2 linked regions of the Saccharomyces cerevisiae S288C genome follow. Changing the gene in region 1 together with any one later gene gives a genetic interaction. Each region holds a gene or a part of one and is shown on either strand. Other genes may lie near its edges. The genes, in order: YFL040W and YPR096C.

The links.
Region 2: mutations in YFL040W (region 1) and YPR096C together harm fitness more than expected from each alone (negative genetic interaction), as found in Saccharomyces cerevisiae (2 studies listed by BioGRID).

Annotation. Positions count from the first base shown.
Region 1 is NC_001138.5:49,076-53,472, forward strand, and holds YFL040W (uncharacterized protein), read left to right. Parts: upstream 1-2,274; coding exon 2,275-3,897; downstream 3,898-4,397. Other genes in the region: ferroxidase FET5, read left to right, coding at 64-1,932; ACT1 (actin), read right to left, coding at 4,185-4,397.
Region 2 is NC_001148.4:724,068-727,007, reverse strand, and holds YPR096C (uncharacterized protein), read left to right. Parts: upstream 1-1,863; coding exon 1,864-2,166; downstream 2,167-2,940. Other genes in the region: LEC1 (Lec1p), read right to left, coding at 1-1,614; Arf family guanine nucleotide exchange factor SYT1, read left to right, coding at 2,291-2,940.

The sequences.
Region 1 (4,397 bases):
AAGACGTAAAAAAAGAGTTCCGAATGAAAGAAGAAAGAATCAAGCACAGGAAGACAAGAAACGATGTTGTTCTACTCGTTCGTGTGGTCTGTACTGGCCGCTAGTGTTGCTTTGGCAAAGACACATAAGTTAAACTATACCGCTTCTTGGGTAACTGCCAATCCTGATGGATTGCATGAAAAAAGGATGATTGGTTTTAATGGCGAATGGCCACTTCCAGATATCCATGTTGAAAAAGGAGATCGTGTTGAGCTTTATTTGACTAACGGCTTTCAAGACAATACTGCTACTTCTCTACATTTCCATGGTCTTTTCCAGAATACGAGTTTGGGGAACCAGCTTCAAATGGATGGTCCTTCTATGGTGACACAATGTCCCATCGTTCCGGGACAAACATACCTGTACAACTTCACTGTCCCAGAGCAGGTAGGAACGTTCTGGTACCATGCACACATGGGTGCCCAGTACGGTGACGGTATGAGGGGTGCATTTATCATCCACGATCCGGAGGAGCCCTTCGAATATGATCATGAACGAGTCATCACTCTATCGGACCATTATCACGAAAATTATAAAACGGTTACCAAAGAGTTTCTGTCAAGATATAATCCAACCGGTGCTGAACCTATTCCTCAAAATATTCTTTTTAATAATACGATGAATGTAACTTTAGATTTTACACCCGGTGAAACGTATCTCTTCAGGTTCTTGAACGTTGGGCTGTTTGTATCCCAGTATATCATTCTTGAGGATCATGAAATGAGTATAGTAGAGGTGGACGGTGTTTACGTAAAGCCAAACTTTACTGATTCGATATATCTTTCTGCGGGGCAAAGAATGAGTGTGTTGATTAAAGCTAAAGATAAAATGCCTACAAGAAACTACGCTATGATGCAAATAATGGATGAGACGATGCTTGATGTTGTCCCACCTGAGTTACAACTCAACCAAACTATCCAAATGAGGTATGGCCACTCGTTGCCGGAGGCACGCGCATTGAACATTGAAGATTGTGACTTGGACCGCGCCACGAATGACTTTTACCTAGAACCTCTGATTGAGAGAGACCTACTTGCTCACTATGACCACCAAATTGTCATGGATGTAAGAATGGTCAACTTGGGTGATGGTGTGAAGTATGCATTTTTCAATAATATCACTTACGTCACACCAAAGGTGCCTACTTTGACAACGTTGCTTACCTCAGGAAAGCTTGCGTCAGATCCTAGAATTTATGGTGATAATATCAATGCGCAGTTATTGAAACATAATGATATCATAGAGGTTGTTCTAAACAATTATGATTCTGGCAGACATCCATTCCATTTGCACGGTCATAATTTCCAAATAGTCCAAAAGTCGCCAGGGTTCCATGTTGATGAAGCTTATGACGAATCTGAGCAAGATGAAATGACCGTCCCTTATAACGAATCTGCGCCATTACAACCGTTCCCTGAGAGGCCGATGGTGAGAGATACAGTGGTTCTTGAACCTAGTGGACATGTTGTCCTGAGATTTAGAGCTGACAACCCTGGTGTCTGGTATTTCCATTGTCATGTAGATTGGCACTTACAACAAGGTTTGGCTTCGGTCTTTATTGAGGCACCCGTTTTACTTCAGGAAAGGGAAAAGCTTAATGAGAACTATCTGGATATATGCAAAGCCGCTGATATTCCGGTAGTTGGTAATGCTGCAGGTCATTCGAATGATTGGTTTGACTTAAAAGGATTACCAAGACAACCTGAGCCACTACCAAAGGGATTTACTACTGAAGGATATTTGGCATTGATTATTTCAACCATTATCGGTGTCTGGGGCCTATATTCCATTGCTCAGTATGGTATTGGCGAGGTTATCCCTAACGATGAGAAGGTGTACCACACGTTAAGGGAAATCTTGGCTGAAAATGAAATAGAGGTTTCTCGCGGCTAATTAAACAAGAAAATATAAAAGAAAAATGAAAGAAGTTTATATTCATATTGATGATTTGCAATCCTAAAAAAAATGTAGCACTGTAAATACTGCTTACTATTGAGTATTTTCATTTTGTTCATTCCATTCCCTATATAATATTCATACGTAATCAAATCTATTGCTTTTTTTTTCTCTTTTATTTCGTTGTTTTAGCTCTGACGTTGTGACGCTCAGCCAAGAACGTCACAAAAAAAGGATGAAAATCAAAAAACAAAATATTCAATAAGTGTAATATGAGAAGAGAAAAAAGAAAGAACAAGTACAGTTTCTAACATTATACTTTAAAAATTATTAAGCACAATGACAGCAATGAAAGCTATTGTCTGGAGACTTCCCAAGATGCCGAAAATCAAAATTACAAAAACTTATGAAGTTACGAAAATTACGGCGATATTGACACTAGTAGGATTTATAATGGGCCTTGAGGTGCCGTCATTGGCAACTTTTCTCACAAACAAAACGTTTAATGAGTACTTCAAGTATCCAACTCCTTTACAACAAGGTTTACTCATGGGGTCCACCCCCCTGGGTGGTATCATGGGATGTTTTATTTGCTGCATAATGAATGATAGATTCAGTAGAATATATCAATTTCAATCGGGAATAATAATATGGAATATTGTTACGTTATTGAACTTTTGTATTTGGGATATATTAGGTTTACTAATTTGCCGGATGATCAAGGGTATGATCCTTGGGAACTTTTCAATTTTAGTAGCATCCTACGCAAATGAAGTTATCCCCCGCGGCAAGCGTGGAAGTACGATGAGCTATATTCAATTGTGTTTAACCATTGGAATTCTTGTTATGCATTATTTGTGCATTGCATTAAGTCTATGGGATTCTCATTTTGCGTTCCGTATAGCGTGGTGCATAGGAATCATTCCTGGATTACTGTTCTGGATGGCTAGCTACGCTCTACCTGAATCTTATCACTGGCTAGTACTACATGGGAAGATGAGTGAAGCTCAGGAAATTCAGCACAATTTAGCCAAAAAGTTTAATGAAAGCCAGCCAAGGGATGCAGTCCCTGAGATGAGTAAGATCGAATTAGCAGGAGATTTTTGGATTGGAGTTAATGATTTGGACTTCTCCAAAAAATTACCTCGGGGTTCGTTTAAGCCTTTGATTCTTGGAATGACTTTACAGTTATTGGTTCAATTTAGCGGTATAAACATTATCCTTGGTTATATTACATACATTTGCGAGATTGTAGGGCTTGAAGGCAATGTAAAACTATTCACCAGTTCCATTCCATATTTCATCAACATGGTTTTGAGCTTGTTACCGATTACATTCATTGATTACACTAGCAGAAAGCTAATTACCTTGTTGGGTGGCTTTCCCATTAGTGGGTTGCTCATTACAATCGGCGCATTATTTGTGAAGTATGGTCAAGACACCAAGCCCATCGACGGCAATAGGAGTTTAGTTTGGTCAATTGGAGAAAACCCGTTTGTGGGAGGATGGATTCTAACTTTATGCTTTCTAATTGTTGGAATATTTGCCATGAGCCTTTCCAGTATACCTTGGGTTTACACGAATGAAATGTTGCCCTCACGAGTGAAAGTTAAGGGATTTGCCATTTGCGTAACGTTTGGATGGTTGGGCAATTTTATTTTAACGTTTCTATGCCCTGTGATGATTGAAAGATTAAAAGGCACAACATTTATAATATTTGGATCTTTGACATTCTTGATATCACTTTCAGTTTTGATTTGGTTCCCAGAAACAAAGGGTATGAGCATAGAAGATATTGATAAATTCTTCGAATTTGAGAGTAAAGAGGGCACCAATTTACATGGGGAAAAGGGTATCAAAACGCCGGACTCAAATTCTAATGGCGGTTCTACAAGATCCTCCCAAGAAGGGCAATTGCATAAACCTATAAAACTGAAAAGCGATGAAGAGATGATCATATGATACACGGTCCAATGGATAAACATTTTTTATCAACACTATGATATATAAATATAATAGTTTTTCGTATATATATTCCTTTTTTTGGTCAATTTTTGAAATTTTCGTAGAAAAGGGAGAGACAAAACACATTATATCAATGAAAACGTACAAAAAGTAGATAAAGTCAGTGCTTAAACACGTCTTTTCCTTAAAAATACTTTATTATTTTTATTTTATTGAGAGGGTGGTTTAAAAATAGAAATAGAGAGAGAGGTACATACATAAACATACGCGCACAAAAGCAGAGATTAGAAACACTTGTGGTGAACGATAGATGGACCACTTTCGTCGTATTCTTGTTTTGAGATCCACATTTGTTGGAAGGTAGTCAAAGAAGCCAAGATAGAACCACCAATCCAGACGGAGTACTTTCTTTCTGGAGGAGCAATGATCTTGACCTTCATGGAAGATGGAGCCAAAGCGGTGATTTCCTTTTGCATTCTTTCGGCAATACCTGGGAA
Region 2 (2,940 bases), on another chromosome or scaffold:
CATCTGTTGGAAACGTATTTGGTTCTCCAAATTACTTACATCTATCAGAGCCCTGTTTCTAATGTCATCTGCTATTTTCGGATTTATGTCCTTAATATCTAAATTAGGCCCACTTAGGAAGAAGCGACGAATAGATGAGCTTTGAGAAACCTCTGCATCTTTACACAAAGTCCTTAAATATTGTCTTAATGAAGTTCTCATTTTTTCACCCACCAAAGTATTGATTTTTGAATCGGATGCATCTTTATATTCATCAAAATCACTTTCTTCACCTTCACCTTCTTCCTCATACTCGTCCTCATCAATATTATCTTCTTCCTTGATCTCATTTAGAATATTTTTTCTCAACGTTTCAGTTTCTTTTTCTGTGAGTACTGTTTCTGTAGCAGATAATTCATTCGTTGTCTGTAAAAATGAAGAATTATCAGACTCTGATGCAGATTGTAAATCAGTGTCAAAAGTGTTGACGATTTTTTCCCTGGCTGCTGATTTAGTTTGCCCATTGTGTAACACTTCGGTTTTAGTTATCATAGACGTCACTTTTTTATTTCTATGAGGTAAGCGCGGACATTTCTTCCCCGGAAATTCTGATTTTAAATCATGAGATAGTTTTTTGAAGTCGCTGTATGTTCTTGTCACATAGAAATAACCAGCATGGTGATCAAGATTACTATTCTCTTCATTGCTGTTATCTTGGTCGTCGTCATCTTGCTTCTTAATCTTAATCAAGAAATAATGATGTTTTCTAGATTGCTTGCTCTTAGTTGAAGGCACGCCAAGGGATAATTTCGAAAATAAAGATGCTGAGGATTCGGGCATACTATTTATGGTACTGTTAATAGTGTTGTTGAAGGCATTCTTCATCCATTTAGAAGTGGAAGCAAATGATTTTATAGCATGGCTTTTGGGACTCGAAGTTGGAGTAGATTTACTAGACTTGTCATTATCCACACTTTCAGTACATTTCCGTGAATTCTTATTGAACACGGATATAATATTGACGTCCCAACCGTTAATAAAAACGGATTCGTTAGTGAGCAAATTCTCTAAATTTTCTCTAGTTGGCATTGCAAATTTCTCAATATTAGAGCGTTTTCTCGCTTGGCCTGACTGTAAAACGAATTTATCCTCATTATAATACGCTTGCTCTTGAAAAGAGCCAACACCGGAGTTAAAGAGCAACAAGATAACCTTTGATAGCTTTTTGGAAACTTTCTTCCTTTTTGAAGCTTCCTCCCTGTCATAACTTTCACTAAACCCAAGACTCATGAAATGTTCAAAGAACACTTGAACCTTACTCTGCCAGAATTTTTCATCAACTAGCAAATTTGTTGAAAGTAAAGGAAATGTGGATATAAATTCTTGCAAAACATAACTCAGCATGGGATAATTAACGCTAAAATGGCCTTTGCCACCGAGCACTGGTGATGAATCGTTATTGGAGATAGGCTGTGGAGCTGTCGGATCGTTTGGTGAGAAAGGATAACCGAACTTTCTCAAAGCAAACTGATCGTTAAGCTTTCCAATTTCATAATCCAATTGACATCGAAGCAGTTCCCTCTTCAGGTAGTGTTCTTCCGTTGGATTTAAAGCAGGAGTGTCTTGAGTAATCATTTGAAGACTGTCTATTTTTGATTCTTTAGTACAATTATCTTCAACCACTGATTTCAGTACACAATTCCGACCACAAGGTAAGGTTCGTTTTTCTTTTTTTATAGAGCCCAATGCACAGTAATTGGATGTAGCTCTTAAAAAAGAATGAAAGCTAGAAAGTGATCAATTATTCGAAAAACACTTTAATACGTTCCTTGTTCACGCCTAAAAAGTTAACTGTCAAATGGTTAACGTACATTTATCTGTCTTATGAGAGGCGAAACAGGCGTAAGCATTAAAAACCCAAGGCCATCTCGTCCTTTTTCTTGTTTTTGGCGTAAAGGAGATGTTGAAAATATTAGGAAAAGTGATATAGGGAACGAAAAGAAAATAGACGCTAAGTTCAACAGGCTTCAGTATAATCTATATTACAAGCCTCTCTCGCACCACAAGGCCGGTTTATTGTACAAAGAACTCTTCTTCAGAAGCTGCTTCTCTTATACTACCTGCTCATTAGACTTTCAGGGTAAAAGGCACCAAGTGGAAAGAAAGGCAGTAGATATAGTACTTTGAATTCTTTTGACATCGCAAGGTTACTCGCATCCACTCCCTATTATTTACTCTGTTTCAACTCATTGTAACTTCATTTTCGCTAACTTCCCGCCAGACCAGCTCTTCAATCCACACTTGCCAGATAATGAATCAGTCTATTTCTTCGTTGATTAAGCTTAAATTCCTTCAATCACACAGTAACGATAAAAATGGCAACAAAAAGGGCGGAAGCAATGTTTCAACAGGCATAGATAAATTAAGAGAGTCGGAAAGTTATAGAAGTCCTTTTCTTCAACTCGCAGAAATACAGGAACACACTAATAATGACGACGATAAACTTGATGTAAAAGAATGCGAGCCCACAAAAAAACACAGCAAACTAAGCAGGATACGGCGTAAGATGGGTAGGTTAGACTTGAATTTCAGGTCAGCCAATGAAAAGGGTTCTGAAGATGATGAAATCTTGGTTGCACAACACCTCCGTAATGGACAAGATCCTGAAGAAATGCCTTTCAAATCAGAAAACAACATAGATTCGATAGAGAAAGTTCCCAAGCCCGATGGTGAGAGAGTCACGCTTACTAGCTCCGGGTCTGATAACGTAAAGAGAAATTCAAAACACGCCCCATTCATTCCTGTGAAACCTGCTCTAGAAAAATTTCCTTCTTCTAATAGATTGTCAAGAGATTACAGAAAATCACAAGAGCCTACCCTGTTTAACGGTGATAGATTAGTTCCTACTCTTCCTACTGTGAGTAGGATATCGACATCTTCTTCCGTCGGTTCCTCTACAGC